Linked DNA regions of Drosophila melanogaster. The protein of the gene in region 1 interacts with the protein of each later gene in a pairwise test. Each region holds a gene or a part of one and is shown in the gene's direction. Other genes may lie near its edges.

The links.
Region 2: the proteins of vers (region 1) and Sms interact in a two-hybrid assay, tested with the Drosophila melanogaster proteins (2 studies listed by BioGRID).
Region 3: the proteins of vers (region 1) and Odj interact in a two-hybrid assay, tested with the Drosophila melanogaster proteins (2 studies listed by BioGRID).

What each region holds. Positions count from the first base shown.
Region 1 is NT_037436.4:12,114,105-12,119,033, forward strand, and holds vers (versatile), read left to right. Parts: upstream 1-1,996; 5' UTR 1,997-2,127; coding exon 2,128-2,355; intron 2,356-2,659; coding exon 2,660-3,066; intron 3,067-3,139; coding exon 3,140-3,267; intron 3,268-3,332; coding exon 3,333-3,745; 3' UTR 3,746-3,951; downstream 3,952-4,929. Other genes in the region: ssp (sunspot), read left to right, coding at 4,211-4,522, 4,584-4,807, 4,868-4,929.
Region 2 is NT_037436.4:12,271,001-12,279,734, reverse strand, and holds Sms (spermine synthase), read left to right. Parts: upstream 1-2,483; 5' UTR 2,484-2,560; coding exon 2,561-2,845; intron 2,846-4,547; coding exon 4,548-4,659; intron 4,660-5,623; coding exon of another isoform or gene 5,624-5,732; intron 5,733-6,114; coding exon 6,115-6,237; intron 6,238-6,693; coding exon 6,694-7,277; coding exon of another isoform or gene 7,278-7,550; 3' UTR 7,551-8,079; downstream 8,080-8,734. Other genes in the region: INPP5E (inositol polyphosphate 5-phosphatase E), read right to left, coding at 1-1,075; Pbgs (porphobilinogen synthase), read left to right, coding at 8,460-8,734.
Region 3 is NT_033777.3:17,806,359-17,811,426, reverse strand, and holds Odj (oddjob), read left to right. Parts: upstream 1-2,204; 5' UTR 2,205-2,309; coding exon 2,310-2,426; intron 2,427-2,480; coding exon 2,481-3,211; intron 3,212-3,271; coding exon 3,272-3,391; intron 3,392-3,448; coding exon 3,449-3,773; 3' UTR 3,774-4,020; downstream 4,021-5,068. Other genes in the region: Alg1 (ALG1, chitobiosyldiphosphodolichol beta-mannosyltransferase), read left to right, coding at 388-947, 1,009-1,569, 1,628-1,847; CG17801 (uncharacterized protein), read left to right, coding at 4,358-4,480, 4,538-5,068.

The sequences.
Region 1 (4,929 bases):
AACTGGCAACATGCGGCATGCTGCATGGAGCATGCAGCATGCAACAGACAACGGACAACATTCAACAATGCGACATTGCACGGGCCTTAACTTAAATTATGCGCCAAACAAATAAGGTTTCGCCCAGTCTCAACTTCGGAGCCCGTCTCATAATGATGCCATGGGGCCATCGGCAAGTTGTTAATGTTCATGCACTGAAAGTATATATTTAATATTAAAACGAAAACTATATGCTAGCATTTAAAAATTGTTCAATTTTATGCAAACTTATTGCCTTACTACTAAATATTCAAAGCTTATATTGCTTGAAATGTTTTTTTAGTTTATTGATTGGATTTTTTTTGAGTGTGGAACAGTGGCTGTGTAATGTCGCCAGTTGCACAAAGTCATGGCCACAGTTGTCGGGCTTTTTCCTCCAAATGCGATGGGGTTGCCGAGCGGATGGCAAAAAAGAAACAATGTCAGCAACCGCAAGAAACAATTAAGTTGGCTCGACACAATGAGGAAAGCTACGATCAACAAGACAGTTGGATCACCGACTTTATGTGCTGCTGCCTGAATTGGACTGGGATTGGGATCGGGATCGGTACTAGAATAGAGTGGAATGGATCGGTATGGTATGGTATGGTATGGAGTGGAGTGGAGTAGAGTGGAGGGAGCCGTGGCATCATAATTGCAGTCCCAGTTGCAGATTTCCTATTTCCTATGAAAAAAATTTTTACACATTTCCAGATCGTAAAATTAAGAGTTTTGCATTAATGCGATATATAAAGATGCTTAACATATATGATACTTATTATAACTATATCGGCTAAGATATTTAACTTCTTCAAGTAAATGAAATTGTTCTACCTTTAAAGTGCATTCAATATAGCCCTGATATTCCTTCTTATCTGGGCCATCTAACAGCTGCTGCTGCTGCGGCACGAGCCAAAAGTCATTAAAAAATAAAAAGACTTCTCGATGGCAGAGAGCAGCTTTTTCGATTAAGTGACAGGTTAAATGCTAAACCATAAGTTTTGGCCACAAGCAGCTGGCAATCACCGAGCACGAGCCACAAACTTTTGCAGCCGGCCGAAATGCAGGAGCCAGGAGACTACACTGAGAATTACAAATTAAATGGAGCAGTTTTCAATGTATTAATCTGTGAAACAATGTCTGAATTTTTTCCCAAATGAATTGTATTGTTTTAAAGAATGTAACATATTAATATATGGACAGACTGATATTGTAACCCTATTGTTGGCCGGATTTGTTCACTTTTTCTCCATGTGAGAACGGCAAGAGTCGGAAGACAAGAGAATCATTCGAAACCGGTTGCAAGTCTCCCACAGGCACCTTCTGTCTGATGCGACGACGTGCGTCGGTCCAACTATAACCATTAGTCGCAATCTTTGGGCAATTGTCGCTGATTGCCGTCGTCCGTTGTGCCTTGTGCTTTTTCCAGATACAGATGCAGATGCAGATGCTGTTCGCAGATGCAGATACATTTGCTGCGGCAAATGCCTGCTGACCCATCTTGATTAGCTAAAAGTGCGTGCGAAATCCACATAGAATGACATCTGTGGTAATTGTCCTTACATCAATTCATTTCAATTAAATGATCTTTATTGTATTAGGAGGCAGTGCCTAACAAATATAAATGCTAAAGCAAATGAAATGCACTTCATTTGAATTGGTAAAGTAAATAAAATAATTGATGCAAGAAAATATGTATTGAAGAGAGATATTTTTGTTGGAACACTTAGTTTTATTATTGAGCTATAAGCCAAACAAGAGGACTTTGATACATTTAACTTAAATCGCGTTTGATTTACTGATAACGTTTACTTTAACAATATCCAAATTACGAACATTTGAAGTCTTAACTAATAAAAACTTTTAAATTGCCCGCCATTTTAACCAGGGCTGCGTATTAATGTTAAATTATCGATAAGCCAAACCAATAAACAGTGTTCAAAAACTTCACTAACTGCAACAATCGATATTACTGCACATCTATCGACTCTTGTTGCATCTCTAGGACAACAGGAACAGGAATTACAAAAGATATTTTTCCACCAATTATCAAAATAAAAACACAACAATTCACGCTATCTAGCGCTGGACACAAAAGACCGCAACGTAATGCCGTCCAGAAATATTGACGATGCCGCCGGCGCCAAGGAGGTTCACCGAAGTACAAGGAATTCACTGATCGGCCCGAAGAGCAAGCGAATCGCCCTAAACAGTCGCAATCGCAGTCTTGCTGCCGCCGAAAAGAAAACTCAGTCGCAGCTGTCATTCCCGCCAAAATCGGAGTACGAGAAGTTCTACGAGACCGTCTTCCTGGCGGAGGATTTGCAGCCGGAGGAAGTGAGTCCATCGCCCCACATGGGTTGTTGGGGTACTTACCCGGTTTTACCGAGTACAGCCACACACCAAATATCTTGTTTACCTATCCCACATGGGTGGCAATAGACCTGTTTACCTTTTCATAATGTGTTTTGGCACTACAAAGCGAGATTCGTTAAAACATGTGATAGGATATCAAATTTGACCTAATTTCTGTATGAAAGTCCACTTCAGTTACATAGTCCAACATGGACCACTAGCGAACATACTAAAATTCTAATTAATCACTCAGTAACCATGCTTCTAAACCAACTAACTCTTCTAGAATATAACACCAGAACGTCGTAAGCCAGGACCGCGCATGAAGAGCTCACTCCAAGCCCTGTTGAGCGATGAAGGATCACCGACGGGACCACAGCGAACCGCCAAGATAAACGTTGCACAGAAAATGGTCGTTGAGCCAGCGATCCGAGCCAATGGCATCTCGCCATTGCCCAAGAATGTTGGCAAGGAGGAAAAGTTTGAGGACTACTATACGAAAACGGAGCGACACGTTTGGAAAAAGGATGCGGAGAAGATGTTGCTGCAACTGTGGGCACAGCATTTGAAGGATTTTCGTGGAGAGTCCAAGAATGTGATCATCTACCGGCAAATGGCTAGGGAGATGAGTCAGTTTGGGCCCAGCCACACGGAGCTTAAAACCAAAATGGACAATTTGTCGCGAAAGTATAGGTGCGCTCTTATATTTTGCATACCAAAAGTTTTTATTTTTATAGTATATTAACTTTTATATTGGTATTTACAGAATAGAAGCTGAGAGAGTTCGGGAAACTGGAGTGCCATCCAAGTGGGAGCACTTTCATAAGCTTCAAGCACTTCTGATTGGCACGAAATCAGTTGATGTCTTCGAAGATATTACCGCCGAAAATCCAGGTAAAGTCGTAGTGCAATAAATGCTAGTTATGTCATTATGTCTTAAAAATACGCTAATTTTACAGCTCAAGCTTTGTTCAGCGATGAGGATTATGAGCCTGAGGAATTGTCTTCATTAAAAGACGAGCCTATGGCCGGGGACGATGGGAACGTATTCGAAAGTGATATGGTTGCTAGCAAAGCCATGAAAAGAACGCGAACTCCCTCTCCCAGTATTCCGGAAATCCCGGAAGAAGACGAGGAGGAGGAGGAGGAGGAGGAGGATGATGACCACATGAAGGATCTCTCCCCATCGCCAATTTCAAAATGTCAGACAAAACGGAAAGCATCGAACAACCATTCGGACAGACTCCTTGAAATAGAGGAGGAAAAACTGGCGATCGAGCGAGAAAAGCTGCAGGTTATGAAGGATGCACTGCTGGAGCTAAACGCATTTCACAAAGATATTGTTTATTTGCTTAAGCATAACAATCAGTAGTGTAAATATTAAGTGTTATACGTAGAAGTAGCGTGGTGTTACTTTTTCAGCAAAATATACAACTAAAACAGTGAATATTTAATGTAATATTGCTTCAACTTCAAATTAATCTAAATATATATATATATATTGTAAAAAGCTAGATTTTGCATTGTTATGATCTTACAAATTAGTTTCTTAAGTAAAAATAAATGCAATGAAATTATATTTTACTTTTTTTAGCAAAACTTTAATTACTTACTTTACTTTAATATTATAAATTTGTTTTAAATCGTATTTGTTACATTTAGTTTCTCAATTCGTAAAATGTTTTTTTATTTGTATTTTAGATATAATTTAAATCGATATCATAGAACTATCGATAGATATATGAAGCCAATACCGACCATTTCTAGAAAAATCGATATCGAGCTGCTGCCCATCTCTAGGCACATTTTGTTTATACTTTTCGAGCGTAAGGACGACATGATTGAGGCCCGCACGATGCAGGACGTATCAAAATTCGAATCCAACCAGGTGATCTCGGCGAAGGTGCTCCGCGGCGAGTACCGGCTACTACGACGCAAGCAGCGCGGCTCCGTGTGGAAGGTGTATCGGGAAATCGTGCGCACCGATGGTGCCATAATCAATGGACTCTACTTCTGCACGGGCTGCAAGCGCGTCATGCGATCCTTCAACACGTCCAATCTGCGCACCCACAAGTGCCATGTGGACTACCTGCGTACCGAGGAACTGTGCGAGGAGGGGATCGCGGAAATCCATCCCCCTAAACTAGACGTACGTACAACGACGCCATTAGAAGTCAATAGTAGTCCAAATTACCATGTCTCACTTGCAGGATTCGTTGGAGCGCCGCCTGAGCTGGAACTCCTTTCAGCCGTCCGAGTGGTCATTCCACGCGGTCGAACTGCTGCTCGAGCTTTGGGCAAGGCACTGCGTCGATTTGCGAGACTCACGCAAGCGGGTCCAGGTTATCTGGAAAATGACGGGCGAGATGAAGTCACTGGGTTTCACGTTCACGGAGATAAAGAACAAAATTGATGACATGGGCCAACAGTATCGGTAATAAGTGAATATACTTATTTAAGCATATTCCTTATCTAATATTACAATTTATTTCAGGCGAGAATCGCACATGGAAAAGACAACTGGACACAAATCCCAGTGGGAATACTTCGAGACCA
Region 2 (8,734 bases), 160 kb from region 1:
CCGCCGGGATCAGATTCAATGCATGTGCCGCCATTAAAGTCTGGCGAGCCAGATTAGATCCCGAACCCTGTCTTTGGAGTGTCATGTTCTCGTGCGACATAAACCTCACGCCTGGCTGCTCCTCTATGTGTTCTATTCCATCTGGCTGAGTGGCTATATTCGGCGAGGACATGTGCTGTGGTGTGGTGGCTCTTTTAATGTCACCAGGTTCTGTGGCTGCCTGAAGAGGGGGTAACTCTTGTCCAGGTGGATAGAGCTTTAAACGCAGTCGGGATCGGCAGGCTGATACTGCCATGGGTCGAATGGGCGAGCGATTTTGAAGGCTTTCGCTCCGTGCCACCGAAGCGCTGGCCGCAGCAGGGCTGCAGTGGGCAAAGAAGGTTTTGCTGGCCACCGGTGATTCTGGCGCACTGGCACACTCACTGGACGGACGCGGTCGGTGTGAGGATCCTTCGCTGGAGTGCAGCGAGCCCGAGTTGTTGTCCACCATGCTCCAACTTAGCGAGAGGTTATCGCGCCGCAGAACACTGTTGCTATCCGGTATGGAGTTATAACGCACGGTCACCGGCGGTGTCATCGGTTTCTTTTCCGCCTTGCAGCACAGACTGAACTGGTGACTAAATCTATTGTGATTGGGTGAGCGATGCTTGGGCGACTTGCGCCGCATCACCACGTCGGCTCCTCCATCGCTTTGGGAACCAGCATCCGTACTGTGCCGGTGCGAGTGATTCTTTCCTTTCGAGGAACTTGGCTTTGCACGCCTGTGGAAGCTGATCAGCCCGCTGTGCGACTTCTCCAGCGGCAGCGTTTGGCTTTTGAGGGTGCTCCCATTGTTATTGACATGGTTTGCAGACGTATCTGCATTGCACTTGGCGAAACTGACATCGTATTGGCCACAGGCGGACACGGGTCTCTGTTGTAATCTTGGCGATTCGGGTGTCACGGGATGTGGCTCCACCTTACTAGGTCGCTTGCTCAGCAAACCGAACAGGGAGCTCGCGGTCTTGTGACCGGATCTGGGACTGCTGGTGGAACTGGTTATCCGTTCCTCACTTCCCGCGCTGCTGTGCTGCATGTTGGCTTTAGTCCGAACGAAATGATTCTATCATCTAAGGTGAAGGTGCTAAGTGGTTATCATGCCCCCCTTTTGTCAAGTTAATTCGCTCTATCTGCCGGATCTCTCGAACCGAGCTCATTGTGCGATGGCCTCTGGCTGCCGGCCATATAAATAGTAAAGCCAGACGTCATCGAGCGAGCACAATGCAAATGCGACTTTGGTCCGGCGTTCTGGCTGGTCGCAATGCAAATTATTTTGGGCTCGGCGATGACGTACACGAAATCAGGCTAATTGGGCTGACTGGCGGCGATTGCGTGTGCTGTTCTGTAAGATTTTAATGAAGGTAAACATTTAGGCGGGTTGGTAATACCAAGGGTATAATACACTTACTAACCTGCAAGCAACTAAATAAAAAAAACACATATGTGGGCAGATCCTTTGGGGCGAGAGAGCTGAAAGGATTCAGAAAATCAATATGCTGGGTAATAACTGTGGCGACACCGTCGCGATATATAAAATGGGGAGGATTGTGGGCGATTTGGGGGGTGGTTGGTCGCGGAAGGGTGGTCTTTGGCGACGACGTAACAACATTGGCATGCTGCGGCGCCCACGCATCCAAGCACTGAGCACTCAGCATCTGAACGTCTGAACACAAGCACAATATCCGTCGTCTGCTGGCTGATTCGATTCTCTGGGATCGAGAGATTTATAATTAGCAGACCATTGTTCCCGTCAGCGCAGCCTTGTTGTTCTTGTGTTGTTGGCCTACGTCTAGCATAAAAGCAGCAACAATAGCACATAGCACACATGCGATATTCAAGTTCAGGTTCAGGTGCGCATTGATTTCGCTCTTGGTGTGCTTTTCATGTTCCGCACTGGTACGCACTACCCTTCCACGCTGCTGTCACCTATGCGATTTATGTAATTTTTGTATGATTTACCGCGTTCCAATGTTGTTTACACCCAAAAACTCCGAGCAAGTGCGGAACTTGTCGTGGGAACTGCGATTTAGGGGTGGCAAAAGTGGGCAGCCAACTGCCGATAAGTGGGAGCACGTATCGATAGGTGCGGGCGGGGGTGTTTCAGTGGCTGGGTTGTGACACGATAGATTTAAAGAAATATTTCTTAAATATTAATTAAGATTTGTATTTAATTGTGTTTCCAGCAAAACGTACCAATGTAATATTTATTAGGTAAACATACATAACAAAGCGCTATATATTCAATACAAAATTGTGGGCCAAGTACCCTTCAAAAATTTATTAAGAGGAATTTATAACATTATTATTAAATGTACTTTATTATTTTTTACAATTATTTAATAAACCGTTTCTTATATTAAAAAAAATAATAAGGTTTAATTAACTGTATTATACAGCCACACTAGAAGTGCAATCGAAATCGACTTGCTATCGGTGCTCGTAAGGCGCATCACTAGTATTTCGTTTCGGTCGGTACGCGGTTCAGCGTTTTTGTTCAACGGATTAGCGCAAGTTAAGCACGATGGCGGCCCAGACGATACTGTTTGATTTCACGCTGGACAAGGACAAGACGGCGGATGAGGAGGCGCGCCTCCAGGTGGCCAAAATCCTGCGTAACGAGCTGGAGCAGCTGTTCCCCCAGCTGGAGCTGGCCTACTCGATGGAGTCGCCGGAAAACGGCTACTTTGCGGTGCTGCACGAGAACAAGGACACGGTGATTACCTGCCGCATCTTCCAGCACGGCCTGCTGACGCTCAACGTGGAGTACTTCCTGCCCGATGGCAAGGAGCCGAGCATATCCTTCGACGTACGTATTCAGTGCAATTTAGATTCCTTTAAAAAACTCAAAAAACAAGCAAGCAAACACCCGACAGCAGCACCACCACCCACATCTTTCTTACCCTCCCAGTTTCCGTGTCTCGGCTGATTAGTTGGGGAAAGGGTTTTCCACCCACCGGGTAAAATTGATTTTCCGCGCACTTGTACCCGAGTGTTGTTGCTTCATCATACATACATGTGGGGGTGTGTGCATGGCAAGTGGGCAACCATGTGGGTGGGTTGATTGGTTGTGTGTGTGAGTGTGTTCCTGACCACTCGGCGAGCTCAAATGGCCGGCACTTGGTCAGGGTCAGTTCGTCCGTCCTTGGCCTCAAGTGATGGCTGCCCCCATCCCAGCACTTTCACCAGTTTCTATTATCTAACACCTCTGAAGCACACATCACATACATAGCGATTTCAGCTGGGCTTTGCTAGGTTAACTTGTCGTTCCGGTCCCGTTTCTATGCTTTTCACATTTGGCCGGAGCACGTGGGTTGGGTTCGACTCGCGATCTATTGATTGGCGCCCCTTTGGGGCATGGTACCCATACTAATAAGAAGAAAAACACCCGGAATATGCGGCCCTTATTACAGAAACCAGATTTCAGGTTACACCCTTAGGCACGCATTATTTCATTTGATACTTAAACTTTCTTATACCAGTTTACTCTACTTACGCATGCACATATAAACAAACCTAAGTCAACAAAATGACTGTTGATACCACAAATCTGAGGGTTTTCAAAATGACAACCAGTATTTGTTTGTAAAACAACAAAGAATATAAAATTTGATAGAATATTTCAATTTCTTCCATCATTTGTTTAAGTACATCTAAAATGCTAGAGAAAATGTCCCATGTACATATGCCTACAGCTACGGTAAGCTAAATAGCATCAAAAAAATTAAATTATGTCAAAAAGTCTAAAATTGTTTTGTTCTATAACTATAGCTTTAACAAAATCCCAAGTAAAATTTTTATAAAATTATATTTTTATACAATGATGGAGTTAGTTAGGATATAATCTCAACAAACCTTTGTACTTTATAAATAATTTAATCAAGTAATCGAACAAAGAAATCAACCTAAACCAACTTTTCTATAGGAGTAACTAATATTATCAGACCCATTATTATTTCCTCGTATCATTTGAAATGCTATATCTTGCCGATCGCAGCTGTTTTATTCGCGAGTGCGGAACTTTTCTTATCTAGCCGTCAATATTTTTTCTGCTTACGACTGTTTGCTGTTGGCCTGTGGATTTCGCAAGCCGCATGTGGCTAAGCCTTCTATTGTGATTTCTGTGATTTTGCAATAACATATGCCTGCTGCACATGCAACTAAACAAATGTGTCGCCAGAATGCACATACTTGCATGGCTACTAGCTATATCTAGATATAGGTATATATTCCCTTTTTCGTTTCGTTCTGTTCACTTTCCTTTTTCATAAGTATCAAGTATTTGGACTAAAAATAGTATTTTTCTTGGGCCGGGCTGCCTGTGTGTCGCCGTTTGGTGTGAGTGGGGTGGGTCGTTCGAAGAGTTTTCCGCGCCTGGCGGATGAAGGTCACCTTCCATTAATATAATTTATTCATACTGAGTACCCCAGCCCCCATCGAGCCAACATGCACATTTGTACATCCGACGCCCCCTTGCAAGAAGGACCTCAATAATGGAATTACCATTGCAGACCATGCGCACCATGGAACTGATTTTGCGGCAGAAATTTGATTCCGATCGGTCCAAGTACTTGCCGCCGATTAAACGCGGCGGATATATCGACATATATATGACTAGCTCAGGTTGGTCGAACTTAATGCAACCTACATATATGTACAATCAAAAAAAATCCAGTTTAGTTCCTGCTAGTTTCATTTGCAATGAATATATATAACTTATCTACTCAAACTCACTTCACATACAATTACCTACAATTTATGCCGAAATTCTCTTTCAAAATTCCACTGCAGAATCTAGAACACCTGTGCAGTTTTTCCACTAGTATTTCCGATTGCCGCCACCGCAAAGAAAATAAATAAAATTAGAAAAAAAACCCTCATGACTATCACATAAATTGGACACCGTATCGCAGCTGATGTAAATTCACCGAGTTGTCATTTCCAGCCCAGAATTTGAACCGCCTCCCAAGCTCTGCACATCTCCAAAGCCACCGATCATGTTAGCCTAGCGTGTTACCTTCTAGGGGATTACTTTTCCAGGCCACTCCTGCATGCTAGTTTGTCTAATCTTTGGAAGAAGCCTTCTACCTTTGCAGTAGTGGTGCCAAGTTGCTCATATTATTGTACTGTGGGTTTAATCTCTTTATACCTTTATGTATCCACGCTGATTTTATATCAGCTCCTTGGCATCACTGCAATTTAGCATACCCACTGTTCTAAGATTATTATTTAATTTAAATTACGTTTTATTTTCATATCTATTCCATCGACACTCAACCGATCCATCGATCATCATGAACAACCGCTGCCACCATCTCCTGGACCAAATTACACACCAAAATTGCCACGAACTTGTGAATAAATGTGTAAACTATTGAATTATACTTACGCCCCAACGCACATGTGTCACCTGCCCCGCCTCGAAATCGATCTCGTACTCGTATTCGCTCCACGTCGTACGCTCGCTCATAAATTGGTTCCTCAACAATTGACAATCGACTACAACAACACGAAAATATCAATACAACACGGTTTATAAAAAAAAAAAACAATATACTACTATGTAAAATCGAACGGACATCCGCAGAGCGGTAAGAGCCTGGAGAATGTCCTGGCAATCAAACTGAAGGCCATCAAGGCCCAGAAGCTGCCGACGCTGAAGCGCGGCGATGTCTCCAGGTACTTCCCATCGTCAGGTAAGGCAAACCCAATCCGTTTGGTTAAACATATTGCAAATAGAGCAAATACTACTCGTACTACCGCTACTGTATGTCATCCGAATTGTGTGTGATCGTATGACCGTATGACCATTGAGCGTATGCAGCACCATCGAGCTGATTGTATCAGAGTTCTTCTAGTGGCACCCAGCATGATAGATCATTTCAGTCATTTACTTCTGATTTTCTCTCTATCTATATCTCGTTTACTTTCCGTAAGAGTGCATTTCGTTGGTCTTAAACTTGTTTCTCTGCATGCGACGCCTAACAATTGAGCCGAAATCAGTACTAGTAATAATCAATATCGCACTTAATACGGTCACTAATAAGGCATCACTAATCCATGGCACATCTTCCGCAGATGAGCGCATCATCGAGTACGACATCGACAAGGTGGTCTTCGAGGCGCGCTCGCCCTTCCAGAAGATTCAAATCATGCACTCCAAGACCCTGGGCAACATGCTGCTCCTCGACGAGCTGCAGAGTAAGTAAACCATACCTAGTATAGGCATCTGAATGCAATAAGTGGCACATTCACACATTGATGCGCCAACGGTGTCAGGGTCACCAATCGATTAGTGGAAGTGCCGCAGTAAAGGTCACGTGCAATTGCCTTTAAGAAAAGGTCATCATAAATAAATATAAACTGCACATAAACATAATGCACAAAAGTAAATATTCCATATCACGGGCATTTTCTGGATGCTAATGCTATGTTACCTGACAATTATTCCATATCACGAACACCTAGTTGCTTGTTAACTAAATATAATGAAATATTCTTATTGCTTAAAAGAAGAATAAGAAAGCTGAATTTGAAAACATGAATTCTCGACTAGATTAAAAACTTTTTAAGCTGTCGGTTATGAAAAGGGTAATAGCAACTTCTTTTGATTCTTTTTTAAATATAGATGTCTAATTTCCCATTTTCCACGTACAGACATTGCTGAATCCGATTTGATTTACACGGAGACCCTGATGTGTCGCGGCGTGGAGAACTACGAGGGCAAGGAGATCTGCATCCTGGGCGGCGGTGATGGCGCCTTGTTGTACGAGCTACTCAAGGAGAATCCGAAGCATGTGGTGATGCTGGAGATCGATGAGCTTGTGATGCAAACCTGCAACAAATACCTCAACGTGATCTGCGGCGATGTGCTGGAGAAACGCAAGGGCGATCAGTACGAGATCATTGTGGGCGACTGTGTGGAGTACTTGAAGAAGTTCATCGCCGAGGGCCGCAAGTTCGACTACGTTTTTGGGGATCTTACGGACATACCCATAACCGATGCCCCGGAGGGCGAGACCTGGGATTTCATTCGTACCATCTTCGAGCACTCCTTCAAGGTGCTGAAACCCGACGGAAAGTATTTGACTCATGGCAATGGGTCCACCTGCAAGGTGCAGCTGCGTCTATTCGAGGAGCAGTTGAATTTGCTGCGTCCCAAGGTGAAGTTCACCACCACCAAGGCGTTTGTGCCGTCGTTCATGGAAGAGTGGCTCTTCTACCAAGTGACTTTCGCCTGACAAGCTCAGGTGGACTCCTCAGCAGCAGCAGTAGCTACTTCTAGCGCACCACCAACCGCCAGTCACACACCAGCATCACACAGCATAAGTCAGGAACCGGGAACCGTCGGAGAGATGCTCCAGCTGCACTCCTACACTGTCACTATCCATGGAGCAGCAGTCGGAGTTCAGGAGGAGGAAAATATGAATAATGGAGCCGTGGGTCAATTGAAACCGCGACCAAGGCGTCGAAAGAAGAAGCGTGTACACTACCATCACACGCTGGTTTCTTAGTCCAGGAAACACGGAATCCGATGCACAAGCTAATCGCCATCATCGAAACCATCGCAACAAAACCCAAGACAGAGGAAAACACGCACTTCCAATGGCTGTTACTTACAATTGAAAACCAAACCAAATACTGAACCCAATTCGTTTACGCTTAAGTTAGGCTTTAGTTCCGTTTCTCGTTCACTGATTTCAATGCTAAAAACTAAGACAAAAGTACAACCTTTAAGCAAGGACAGGCTAAAATAATAACTTATGTATTCGTGTTTATTTGAATTACGCCTAAGCATAGCATGTTGGCCAACTATTTGTAATATTTCGTATAACGTGTACATCTATATAATGTAGACCATATGTTTAGTTATCCATTAACAAGCAAAGTGGAGCGGGGAAGGCCCAAGGATCGAGGATGTGTGTATGTGGGTGTGAGGAAGCGTAGCAGGAACACCAACTTTTATTGCTGTAATAACGATTAATACCAAACATTTTAAACGGGAGAACTAATAAAGTTAAATAAATAGTCGTACGCAGAAATAAACAGTGTGGTTTTCTTTTATTTTACCGGGTATTTTAATAATAAATCCTGGAATTCAATAAATTACAAATTCAATAGCAATATTCAAGTAATACTACGCATACGCAGTGTTGACCTATCCTTAATCAATATGGATAAAAAATTAATTAAGGGATTTATCGCTATGAAATTCTTAATATAAATAAAATTTTATCTTAATTATTTATATAAGTTTTTAAATTTAATTATTTTATTTTATCGTGAGCCACCCTAATCTTTTCATGACAGTGTTGGACAACCGTGCAATAGAGCACGCACTAAATATGCCCGCGGGCAGTTGAACGTTAATTTCACTTGTTGTTACGTTGGTTTTAATTTTCACCGGGAGCTAAGCGAACAAAATGGAGCGGAAACTGCACAGTGGAATGCACCATGCCACGCTGCGGCAGCTGCAGGAGTCGGGCTGCGAGATAGCGCCGCACAATCTCATGTATCCGGTGTTCATCGTGAGCAACGACGACGATGTCCAGCCAATTGCCAGCATGCCAGGAATCTCGAGATTCGGACTGAATCGCCTGAAGGAGCACCTGGAACCGCTGGTGGCCAAGGGACTGTCGTCGGTGCTGCTCTTTGGCGTTGTGGACCCGGACATGAAGGATGAGCAGGCCTCCAATGC
Region 3 (5,068 bases), on another chromosome or scaffold:
TTTATTTTACAGTACTGTTAAGAAATGTAAATGCAATGTTAGAGAAAAAATGTAGCTTAAAATTATGCTATTTTATCACTTCATACTTTGAAATCTAAACAGTATATATATTCGCTCATATAAATCTAAGAATTCTGATTACTCATCTTAAAAAATTAAATGAAATAGAATAGATGGATAAAATGATAAAATACCCAAATTTTTAAAACAGGTAGTAAATAAATGTTGAAATGAACCACCCTAACATAGCGCCATAATAGCAGAGTTCCGAGGCATTTTGCAGCGGCTGAGTACGGTCCCACTATTCCACAGGATTCAACCGAATCACAAACAAAACGCGCAATTCCCTTTGATCGCAGATAAAGCGCTTATTTTTCTTGCCCAGCGATGGCGGAAGTGCTGCCCAAGAAGCGCAACGCCTGCGTCATCGTGCTGGGCGACATTGGACGCAGTCCGCGCATGCAGTACCATGCCCAGAGTCTTCTCGAGGAGAACTACCACGTGGACATGATTGGGTATCTGGAGACGAGGCCGCTGGAGGAACTGACTCAACATCCACGTTGCCGAATCCACGAGCTAACTGCCGTCCCAGTGACGAACCTAACACCCAAACTGCGCCTGCTCTTCAAGGCCTTTTGGCAGACGCTCAGTCTGCTGATGGCTCTCATCTCCATTGGCCGTCCCAGCTTCCTACTCGTCCAGAATCCGCCCGGCATTCCCACGCTGATTGTGTGCTATCTGTACTGTGCGGTCACACGAACCAAGCTGGCCATCGATTGGCACAACTACACGTACACAGTGCTGGCATTGGGAATGTCGAAGGGAGAGCAGAGTCCTCTAATACGATTGGTTAGGCGACTGGAGCGATACTTCGGCTCCAAGGCACACACACACTTCTGTGTGACGCGGGCCATGCAAGAGGATCTGCAGCAAAACTGGGGCATTGGGTAAGTCCTCATCACATCCATCTAAACGAAGTAAATAACTCAGCCGCGACTCATCTTTCAGGCCTGTCAAAGTTCTGTATGATCGTGCGCCCGCGCAATTCCATCCCATCGACTTGACTCACAAGCACGAGCTGTACCTGAAGCTGGCCAAAGACTACCCACAGTTCCAGGCCAAGGACGCCGAACAATCCGATGTTCTGGAGGCCACCGCTCTTACCCAAAAGCTGGCCAGCGGTGTTGTGCAGTACAGACCACAGCGACAAGCCGTGCTGGTTTCCAGCACCAGTTGGACGCCGGACGAGGACTTCGGTATACTGCTTAAGGCTTTGCAAGCTTACGAGGAGACTGCGCAAGCAGAGCCGTTGGTTTATCCTTCCCTGCTGTGTATCATCACCGGAAAGGGGCCACAAAAGGAGCACTATGTGGCGGAGATCGAGAAGCTGCAATGGCAGAAGGTGTCGGTGATCACGCCCTGGCTAGAGATCGAGGACTACCCCACTGTTCTGGCCAGCGCCGACCTGGGCGTGTGTCTGCACTGGAGCACCAGTGGGCTCGACCTGCCCATGAAGGTGGTCGACATGTTCGGCAGCGGGCTGCCTGTCTGCGCCTACGATTTCAAGTGGTAACTAATCCTGCCATTTACTATTATTACTTACTAACTTCTACAAATGGCTCTTTAGCCTGGATGAGCTGGTGAAGCACGGCGAGAATGGCTTCGTGTTTGGCGACCATGTTCAGCTGGCCGAGCAGCTGAGGATTTGGTTCGAAAATTTTCCAAAGAATCCCAGCATCCTGGAGACAAGAGCTGGTTTTCAGCGCAAAATCCAGGAGTTCCAGGAGCTGCGATGGCGGGAGAGTTGGCGCCTGATCGCGGCCCCCGTACTGGAGGCATTTCTATAGAGCATTTTGACAAAGATTTGACAATTACACGTTATGAGAGACTTCCTTTGATTGCTAATCGCTTTTTCTAGGCTAGTTACTACAAATTCTGTACACAAAAGAGCTTCAAACTTGCTTATGATGCTTATTTTATTTTTATAATCGTAGCCTAAAGATAAAAATAAATTGCTAAAAAAAGGAGATATATACAACTATTTATTCGCTTGTAAAGCGTGTTTTCTTAGGAGTATTATGTATTTCAATTAAAAAAGAAAATTCACGGGATGCAGTGCCGATTTTTTTTTATTTGAACACCAATATCGATAGTCTGAAATAAACATCGATATATCGGAAAATTTTAAAAACATCAATGTTTGACACCTCTAGTTGCGGACAACGGTCACACTTCAAAACCAAACCGGCTGCGCAAAAATTACTATAATTTGTAATTAAAATTAATCAATTTTATTTAGTTTCGAAAGAATGAGCACCGAGTGTCGGATCTGCGGCGAGCGCATCTTCACGCCGCACCCAAAGAACATCTTCGAGAAGCGCAATCATCGCATTCGGATGGCCATCGAGCAAATCACGGGCTTAGAGGTGGCGTCCCTTTTATTTGTTGTCCGGAATTATTCATAATCTATGCATTTCCAGATCGTTTTAGAGAATATGCTGCCCCAGCACATATGCGCTTGTTGTCTCCTGGACCTGACCCAAGCCGTAGCCTTCAGGCAGCGATGCCTGGAGACGCACGCAAATCTCCACCAGAGGATCTCCTCGAAGGCGGGTGTCGCCTCAAAAGGCTCCCCGGAGGTTTCGCCAGTGCTTAGTGATCCGCTGCTGAAACGGGAGGTGCTGGATGATACAGTAGACACCGAGGACGATAAGGAGCTACTGGACGATGATAAGGATTTAATGGATGATGATAAGGATTTCTTGGAGGACGAAAAGCCGATTTTAAGATATCCTCCGGCCAAAAAAATCCGGATCGAGGACCAAAATTTCCCGAACAGACAGTCCCCACGAGTCAGGGTCAAGCGGCTTCGTGTGCCTGTGGTCGAGAAGGCAGATAGTCCACCGCCACCTCCGCGGGAGCACGTCCGAAAGCCCAGAAAGCGGCGACCAAAACCCAAGGTCGATCGCTCGATAAAGCGATACGTGTGCGACCAGTGCGGTTGGTCGTTCAACGATCACAGCAACATGAAGGATCACAAGCTGCGGCACTTCGAGGAGAAGTTTTCATGCGACGAGTGCGGTCGCAAGTTCTACACCATGCCACTGCTCCGATTGCACATTCGAGTCCATCACAAGGGCGAGAAACCGTACGTCTGCAAGTTCTGCGGTATGGGATTCGCCAATAGTCCCAGCCGCTGTCGTCATGAACGGTGAGTGCTGGCCTAATCATCACAAGTCCTTATCTATATAAACCATAAAAACCTTGACAGTCAAATGCATGCCAACGAGCTGGTGCACCCGTGCAAAATATGCGGCAAACGATTCAACAGCGAGAAGGGACGGCTGAAGCACGAGGAGGGGCACAAGAGTGACCAACCGGATGTCCATATGTAAGAATCATTGAAATATACGTAGCCATAGATGTACAAACTCATATTCTTTCACAGCTGCCTCACATGCAACAAGGAGTTCAAGGAGGCGCAGTTTTTGCATCGGCACTACTCCACAAAGTATCACCGCAAGCGGGTCAACTTGCTGGTTAATGGTCCAAAAGAGGAATTCCAGTCTGAAGTCGATCCGGCGGAGTTTCCGGGATATATGGAAGAGGGGCAGGCAGAAATGGAGGACAACCAGGCTGAACTGGACGTAATGTTAGATAACATTGACGAGGAACAATATGAGGACCACGAGGTACTTCAGGATGAGGACGCAAATTTTGAGGACTTCGAGTACGAGGAAGCCATTCCCGATGGAGAGGAGCTGTACACCTAACTTTAAGCACACAAAAAAAATCGACTGTTGGCGCCACACACTCCACACTCCACACGCCACAATGCCAGGGATGCAAACTATCTGACTTTTTCGGTGGTTCAGAGAAATCCTTTGAATCACCAGCCAGCCGTACGATTAGCACCAGTGTGGAAGGAATTCAACGTCGGTCTTAGATTACAATTTGTTATAAAATATATTTTATTCTAATTGCACAGCGCGCTTATTTTAATAAAAATTATATGGAACCAATTTCAAAAACGTCAGGAATTAGCCGAACGTGTGTTTTAGCTTGAACCTCTCTTTTTGGGAAAATTTAACCTCCCGTTTATAATATATAAATTTTAAATTATAAAAACTAGCTCGATGTTCCCTGGTTTCTAGGAAATAAGAACAGTTAGTTTTTCCACACCTATCTGGTAACGCCATGAAACAGGTAATTCATACAAATTTTGCTGCTTAGAGAGAGTAAACAGAAATTCTCGGATTGCGTACGCTCTTTTACCGTTTTTATTCCATAATTGACAACATAAAATCAATTAAACTACAGCTGATTGTTTTGGGAATTCAGCGGGATAAATGATCATATGTTTGAAATGAAAAAGCCTTCGCAATGCCATTTGTGCGCCTCGTGTTTCTGTCACCTGAATCCCACGATAATTTTTTGCCTGGAAGTTCTGGCCAAGATCAAGGATCTCACTGGAATATGGGTATGTTGATGGTTTCTTGTGTGCGTGAATGGCATAACCCATTTACTCCATTTACAGTTAGAACAGAATGAACGCCAGCCGCGTCATATTTGCCCATCTTGTTTAAATGACTTGAACACATCGATTAAGTTAAAGAAGCGCATTCAACGAGTTCACAATGAAGCAACGCTGAGGCGGGAATCTGGGCTTGATGAGGATCTAGAAAGCACTGTATCCGATATAGAGCCAGAAGGGGATTCCAGTGACTTGGAATCGGAGGAATCATATGATTCAGAAAACTATCCATTTGACAAAAAAGCAGAGGAATCCGATATTGATTTAAATCTCGCCCATGAGGATAGGAGAAACGAACCACATAATCCTTATGATTCGGAAACCCCCTTAATATTTAAGCATAAAAATCCATTAATTGAGACTCCTTCATTTGCAAATGAAAACTTGCCTAACAAAGTCGATGCAAAAAGCCCAAAAAAGGGAAACTTTATACAAATTGGAACCGATCTGAGACTACTTACAACGTATCCCTCTATTAAGGTAGTAAAGCCCCTTGCATTAGCTCCAGAAGATGTGGCAGCTGAGAATGTACCC